Linked DNA regions of Tribolium castaneum. The protein of the gene in region 2 purifies or fractionates together with the protein of the main gene of each other region. This does not show direct contact. Links are inferred from orthologs where the notes say so. Each region holds a gene or a part of one and is shown on either strand. Other genes may lie near its edges. The genes, in order: mts and tws.

The links.
Region 1: the proteins of tws (region 2) and mts purify together in Caenorhabditis elegans (affinity purification with western blotting; 3 studies listed by BioGRID, with this or other methods). This does not show direct contact. The link is inferred for Tribolium castaneum from reciprocal best matches to the Caenorhabditis elegans genes sur-6 and let-92.

Annotation. Positions count from the first base shown.
Region 1 is NC_087399.1:655,013-659,593, reverse strand, and holds the start of mts (serine/threonine-protein phosphatase 2A catalytic subunit beta isoform), read right to left. Parts: upstream 3,107-4,581; 5' UTR 3,042-3,106; coding exon 2,958-3,041; intron 2,720-2,957; coding exon 2,606-2,719; intron 2,118-2,605; coding exon 1,656-2,117; intron 1-1,655. Other genes in the region: small ribosomal subunit protein RACK1, read left to right, coding at 3,532-3,640, 3,793-4,001, 4,205-4,336.
Region 2 is NC_087395.1:13,630,067-13,633,890, forward strand, and holds part of tws (serine/threonine-protein phosphatase 2A 55 kDa regulatory subunit B alpha isoform), read left to right. Parts: intron 1-2,244; coding exon 2,245-3,200; intron 3,201-3,824. UniProt on the Caenorhabditis elegans protein: Probable regulatory subunit of serine/threonine phosphatase let-92.

The DNA.
Region 1 (4,581 bases), on a different chromosome or scaffold from region 2:
ACGAAGATTTTCACGCGTTTCACCGAAAAAAAGAAAAAGTTGCACCGCAATCGTAATAAATCACTCTTGGATGAATTTAAAATTTTAATTAACATGAGTTTGAAGATTTACCAAACAGGTATTACCAGCTTAGTAGACCGGACTGATTTAATACTCATAAATATCTAAAAATACCGACCGGCAAACTTTCCTTGGCGAAATTATTGTTCCCGTAATAAATTTTCCGCAAGAATGTGAATTATCCAGAGCAACTCCAAGATAAACCAGAATCGGGTCAAGGTCGCAATGTGATGAATTCATTATAATTAAGGGTGTTTGGGGTGACAAACGCTCGAGATTTCCATCCGATAAATTGTTTGGAAGCTAAATAGATTGACGTGGGACCTTGAAAGCAATTACTTCACGTTCGACTGGTTTCAATTTTTTTTTCGACTATCACATTAAATGGAAAAGCAACGTTTTACTAAAATTAAACTTGTGTCACTTTTTTCCCCAAGTCTAAAGTTTCTCTTTAAAAGATTTACGTGGTAATTTGTCACCAGAGAAAGGGTTTAATGCCCTCACAGGTTTTTTTTCAACTAGCGACATCGTAAAATATTCATAACAAGACAAGCCAGAATCAATAACTGGCAATTTTTTTTATGAGAGTCGTACGAAATTTACGCAAAAATCCATAAAAACGAAGCCATGAAGCGAACGTCTTGTATCGATTCTGACAAATTAAATCAAATTAAAAACGACAGCGTTAAAGTGGAAGATTTATTACGAGGTGGTGTCGGATTTTCGTTTATTTGAGCAGATTTACCGAAAAAGTTTCAGATTAAAACGAACAGATTTGGCATCTTGTTTTTAAACAAAATCAAGTATTTATTTTGCTCGATCAATCCACGATAATCATTGTTTTGTTGAGACAAAAATAAATTCTTCTTTTAGAAATACCTTTTCTTTATCAGTGACGTATTTATTTACATTTAAGAAAATTAACATTGATTAACTTAATCAATAATAGACAATACGAACTTTTTTCAAGTTTAATAATTAATTTTCTTATCAACCTTTACTAAAAACGAGGTCTTTTATTGCACAAGACAAAGCCGGATCAATGGAGAAGAGCGCCAAATGAATTAAAAATTAAATAGGAAAAGTAATAAAATTTTTGAAGCAATAATTCACGTTTTTTGAAGAATTTTGCCTCAAAATAATTAAACTTTCGTACAAGAAAAAATTCTAGTTTGTTCCACGAATTTTTAGTTAAAAAAAATGAACAAAATTTTGGGACCCAAAAAATTAAACCAACATTTTGGCTAGATTTTTCGGATCGTTTTTGATGAATTTTATTAAATCAATCACGTCATTACACGTAAGAGGCAATCGATCATTACTTTTTTATTCCTGTTACACAATAAAACAAAATCGTATTAAATTATCGGTTAAACTTGTCAGCTTTTTGCGGATATTAACGCTAGTTTTACATGAGATAACTCAACAAATTGTAGTTTTTTGAATGCATGAGAAAGGTAATTATGACTTAAACGACAAACTGCCAATTCAATTAATTGCATAATTTCCAAAACAATAAGATGATGTAATTTATTGAAGAAGTGTATCATTTTCGAATGTAGCCATGCTCTAAAAATGCTGCCCCCCTTACTCACCTCTTGCAAACGATCTAACGCCCTAATGTGATCCAAGGTATCAATGCTGGGACTGAGTCCTCCATGCAGACAGAAAATTTGACTATCGACGAGCGCCGTCAAAGGCAAATAATCAAATAAATCCGTAAAGAATTTCCAAACGTTTGCGTTTCCGTATTTTCTCAAACACTCGTCGTAAAAACCGTAAACTTGGGTGATTTGTCTCGACTCGTGGTTACCTCTTAGAATCGTTATTCTTTCTTTATATCGAACTTTGAGAGCTACTAGGAGTGTCACCGTCTCCACCGAATAATAACCACGGTCTACATAGTCACCCATGAAGAGGTAATTCGTGTCGGGACTCCTTCCTCCTATCCTGAACAACTCCATCAAGTCGTGGAATTGGCCGTGGACGTCCCCGCACACGGTTACAGGACATCGCACTTCTTGTACGTTCGACTCCTTCGACAGGATCTCTTTCGCCTGGAACAGGGAAAAAATGACATCACACGATGACTCATTGATGACGACAGAAAAAACATAACCTAATTTTAGCTCGGTCAGGTCAAGTCAAGTCAGGTCACCTTTTTTAGTGAAGTTTCTCAGTCATCTTTGGAAATTTCTGGCCATATTAGGAATGATAGAATGCTTGTGTTTATGACTTTGAATTGGAAAACATGAAATTTGGTTGTAAATTTTGAATTTCGTTAGCTCTTCACCTGGTTTAACCACGAGCCGCCACTGATTCATTCGTAATCATCGGTATGAATCAGTGGTTTGTTTGAGAGGATCTGATAAAAGATCGGGCTCCAAGGATCTAAAGTGCTTATTTTATTAGAGATAACGTAACCAGGACTGTAAATAAGGAGTAAACTGGCGGTGCTAATTAAAATAAACACTTTAATTGCGTTAATTGGAGCGAACACGAATCGATTCAAGGGACTAAAACTAGGCAAAGGGGCGATATTTACCTTATCACATAGTGTCTTTACTTGATTTTCTGATAGTTGCTTACAGTCATTTAACTGTTCTATCCACTGATCCAGTTCTTTACACGACGCTTTATCATCCATTGCTAGCGGTATCTGGTCATACACACGAAAATAAGTTAGATCATAAATAATTACACTAAACTGCTCGAAATTCGGTTTGTTTCTCTACATAAATTACTCGTTATTTTAGTTTTTATCTATTCTCGGATGAACACACCAAAATGGCGATTATGTGGTGGATTTAATAAGACCTCTAGCGGCGGCTTTGTACACTCACACCACCGACCGGGAAACTCAAATCGAACTCCATTAATCACGGACAGAATTTTACCTGGGGCGGTTTGTCGCATAATATTGACACAGCGGACGTCGGAGTTCGAAATTTAATCGGTTTTTGCGTTTGGGGGCTTTTCATTGCTTGTAAGAGACAGTTTGACGCTTTGTTGACATTACTCAAGCAAGGTCGTTTGTTTCCCAGGCCCTGCCCACGCCGCTTGATTGGCCGGTTCAAATAACAAAAAACATGATAAATTAAATAAAAGGTGTGACATAACGCAGTTTCCACAAAAAAATCGTCAAAAATTTGGTACTAGAAATGACCAAAGGTAAAAAATCTTGAAGTACAACCAACTATACAGGAAACTGTAAATGTTCAAGTACCACTTTTTGCACAAATTGTAATGAGGGGCTACAACAAAGTTGTAAAAACCGTTTGGTTTTCAAATTATGCAAAACGTAAAAAAATCCAGGCCCTCCAACCGGTGTGGTTAGCTAATCTAGTGACTAATAGTGACTTTTCGTTGCGTAATGGGTGTTTTTGTTCGGTTGGCAACTGCAGAGCCACCTCTCTCTTCCGTTCCCTTTTCTTTTTGAGCCGGTCTTGTGTGAGGAAGGTCCTCTGAAAAATGTCCGAAACCCTTCAATTGAAAGGCACCCTTTTGGGGCACAACGGCTGGATTACGCAAATTGCGACCAACCCCAAATACCCCGACTTGATTTTGTCCGCGTCTCGAGGTAAGAACCCAAATTCTAACCCATAATCTCCTTTCTAATCCCCATTTATTGGTGAATTACGCAACCATCCGCTTGAAATTTGCCCCAATTTCGCCAAATTGGCCTTCGGGAGCATGTTTCCCGTGGATAATTTCCGATTTTGTTGGTTTTAGACAAGACTTTGATCGTATGGAAACTGACACGTGACGAGACATGCTACGGGGTGCCCCAGAAGCGTTTGTACGGCCATTCCCATTTTATTTCTGACGTTGTCCTGTCGAGCGACGGTAATTACGCCCTTTCTGGCTCATGGGACAAGACCTTGCGTTTGTGGGACTTGGCTGCTGGGAAAACAACGCGTCGATTTGAGGACCATACCAAGGTTTGAAACATACATTTTTACCGTTTTACAGTTTTGATATCTCACGTTGCAACAGTCGGAAGATTTTTTGTTTTTTTTGTATTAACGGCGACTGAAGTTGACTGTTGGGCCCCCTTGTGTAAGTATCGTGAGACATATTAGGCTAGTCCTACCAATGGGTGTGTTAGCAATCATTCGCAAAACTTAAAAATGTATCTGTTTAGGATGTCTTAAGTGTGGCTTTCTCGGTTGATAACCGCCAAATCGTGTCAGGATCCCGCGACAAGACCATCAAATTGTGGAACACTTTGGCCGAGTGCAAGTATACCATCCAGGACGATGGCCACTCTGATTGGGTAAGTGTTCGGAGAAATTTCCGACGTGAGTTCTTTACAACACGAGCACGGCGAGTGCTGCATTATTAGTAGTAGATATGTTTTTTCTTTTCTTGTTAAAAGTTGTTAAATTTACTGAAAAAAAAGGGTGGCGACTATTTTTTTATAATCTACATTTTCTGACGGTATGGATGATATGGACATTAAATTAATTAAATATTTATTAGAAGCTATTTCTTTATCTGTATAAACTTTAAATTTGTGTC
Region 2 (3,824 bases):
GCTTTGACTTTGGTTCTGCGGTTTTTCGTGATATAAAGTGTTTGTTGTTGGAACTTGGAAGTGGATAAAAAGTGAAAAAGCCTCAATTTTGATTTCAAAATGTTATCAAACAGTTATCTAATTAAAGACTATAAGTAATGGATCACAGCGAACACAAAGTTGGGCTCAAGAAACCAATAAATTAGTGAAGTTTGTGAATTTTAGGTTAGAATTTTTCCACTGAAAGAATCATGAAATACTTCGGTAAATCTACAAAACTACAATTAAGATTAACAACTGCTGATACATTTAAACGTAAATTATGCCAAAAGGTAGGCTTTTCAATGTCTTTATAATAATTTTTCAATAAAGAAAGTGAACTAAACAGTCATTCGTTATTCCTGATTTCCTGGTCATCTCTCATTTGTCAACATAAGTTTCTTGAATCAAAGATACAATTGTTCATTCCGCAGAGGCAATGCAATAATTGTGAAGCCTCAAAATTCGTACAACGCTCAAATATCCGAATAAACATTTTCTCGCCATTTATGGTTACTGTTTTCGACCTAGCTCAGTGGCGCCTCTAATGGTAATTTTACTTCCGAATTGTATTTTCTGGGTACTGTCATCTTTGTCAAAATTTAAAATTAGGTTTTTGTTCACTTTTGTGCATTTTTCGGCAAAGTTGTTTCAAGTGTTGAGCTTGTCTTGATTTGTGTTTGATATTACTATATTTTTTGTTATTTTCTTTCGTTTTTAGATTCGAAGCCTTTTTGCATTACTTTGACTGATCTGTCACTTTGCTGGCATCCACAATTTAAATTGAACGGCGGGTAACGTTCAAATTCATAGGTGACTTGATGAAAAACCATTTCTGAACAGCGTGTATTAAATTTAATGTTTACGCCCGGTATTTAGTTGGGTAGTATGCATAAAAAGTAGCAAAAGCTTTTACTGTAGTTTTATCCTCTTTTCTCGTGAAATGTAAATTACGTCTATCTTTTACTATTACAAGTAAAAGCATTTATTCATACGGTTCATTGCCACTTTTCTGTGACCCGTTTTCATCAAGAAATCAAAAAGAAATTCTTACTTTTCAACAACGCATGCGCATTTAAAATCTTTATGCGCGGTGTTGCCAAAAAGCTGGGAATTTAACCCAATTTCTACTAAAACCCGGTATTTCAGTAGACGATTAAACCAAAAATATTTTAGTTACCAATTTATTTCCTTGCTTGACGTATTTTAATGCTTGGCTATGATTTAACAAAGTTTAAAATTTTTGCTGAAGAAAATGTGTCGGTGTTATAAACTTTTTTCAGTTTTGGAGTATTGTTTAAATGTCCCCTTTTGTCGTAACGAAAATTATTATTTTAGACACGCTGTATCTAGATAGTTGAAATATGTACCTGTTTCTCATTGTTTAAGAAAACATCTATGACTCAGTGAATGAACTCTTGTTGCAAAGGATGATCTGCTCATGGCTGAATTCAAAATGACAATTTTTTATAATATTGTACCATGAGATCGAAAATATTCTGAGTTAGAGCAATTTGAGCGTTGTACAGTCACCTTTGATTGATTCGCCATTGACAGAATTGTTCAAAAGTTCTAATATTGTTCTTATGATTTAGGTGTAATCATATTTAGAGGTTTTCTTGCCTCTTCCTAAAGCCATTTTCTTCTTCTCAATTGCTTTCAAACGTTTATCTTCTGATAAAATTCTGTTTTATTTAATTTGTTGTCATGTGTAGCTACGGTTTACTTTTAATAGGCAAGTAGTCAGATATAGCAGAAAACGATTTTTGTTAAAATATTCTTTGGTGTTCTATAGAATGGATACAAAAATAGCATGTTCAACCCGTAAGAAAAGTGGCTAAAACTATTTCATGAAAACTTTTCAGTGGCCTGTAAACCACAACTTTTCTTTACTTGTTAAGCAATCTACTATATTTCACAACAAAGTCAAATTGTCGCCATTCTTTTTAACACTTTCAGTCAACAAAGCGGATGTTTTGAGCCTTTATAAATAATGACTTGACGTTAGTGACAGTGTCCCCTTTAATAATTTGTCAGATCATAATTTTTTGCATGTAAAAAGCACATTAATTTCTTTATTTTTTTAAAATGTTGCCTTACTTATATCTTCCGATAGTGTATGTGGACTTAATTCTTATTAATTAAGTACGCCTGGACTAAAATACAAAAATCATTATCGATCGTTGTTTTAACATTTTGCGTAAACGTGGTGTGTTTTTGTTTCAGGCAATGGAGACGTGCAGTGGTGCTTTGCTCAGGTGAAGGGAACGCTCGACGATGACGTGACCGAAGCTGATATAATCTCTTGCGTGGAGTTCAACCACGACGGTGAACTCTTAGCGACAGGGGACAAAGGAGGCCGCGTAGTGATCTTCCAACGCGATCCGACGTCAAAAACATCATTTCCACGACGTGGCGAATACAACGTGTACTCGACGTTTCAATCACACGAACCCGAATTCGACTACCTCAAGAGTTTAGAGATTGAAGAGAAGATCAACAAGATCCGATGGCTGAAACGTCGCAATCCTGCCCATTTCCTTTTGTCGACCAACGACAAGACTATCAAGCTATGGAAGGTGTCGGAGCGGGACAAGAAAGTGGAGGGCTACAATACTCGCTCGGAGAACGGCTCGCTGATCGATCCAATGAATGTCAGCTCGTTGAGGGTGCCCACCATCAAGCCCATGGAGCTGATGGTGGAGGCGTCGCCGCGGAGGATCTTCGCCAACGCGCACACCTACCACATCAACTCGATTTCGGTCAATTCGGACCAGGAGACCTACCTATCGGCCGACGATCTACGGATCAACCTGTGGCATCTAGAAATTACCGATCAAAGCTTCAATATTGTAGATATCAAGCCGACGAACATGGAGGAATTAACCGAAGTTATAACGGCGGCGGAGTTTCACCCGGTCGAGTGCAACCTGTTCGTTTACAGTAGTAGTAAGGGTACAATTAGGTTATGTGACATGAGGGCGGCGGCCCTCTGCGACAGACATGCTAAACTGTTCGAGGAACCCGAAGATCCGACGAATAGGAGTTTCTTTTCCGAAATTATATCGAGTATTTCCGATGTTAAGTTGTCGAATAACGGCAGATATATGATATCTAGAGACTATTTATCAGTTAAAGTTTGGGATCTACACATGGAAACCAAGCCAATAGAAACGTATCCAGTAAGTATTTATGTCTTTGTTAAGTTTATTGAGACAGGTTCGATTTTATCGTTATTGTGCTCTATTTGCTTTAACGGCCAACTCTAAAGTTAATGCTTGTTTTACCCGTTAAACGGGGTTAATTTCGTCCCAATGTAACAGTAAACATGGCACGTGAGAGTGAAAACTGTAATTCACATATTTTAATGACGTTTAATTCAAGACTATTATTCAAACAAATATTAAACCATTAAAACTAAGTGTACTTAGAATTATATCCTACGGTAGAATCAAGTCAGTGATACAACTTGATGAAGTCGGAGTAAAACACACATCATCTCCAAGAATATAGAACGAAATTAATAGGTCGTGAGGCATAAATCTTTCGAATTTTACGTTTTTTTTACTTAGACAGTAAATCAGTAGCAAATTAGAAGTTTGCCTCACAGCCATTTACTACCTTTGCATAAATACAGAGCAATACGTGCACATGCAAAAAAAGATTCTTCTGGTTACATAAAATTGTCGAAATTTTATGTAAACTTTACTCAACAAACTAAAAAAGTTGCTATAAAGACGAATCTGAGTACAGTCGTGTTTGCTTTTATCAGCGGCACAGGTGTAGTATTCAAGAAACTGTTGAGA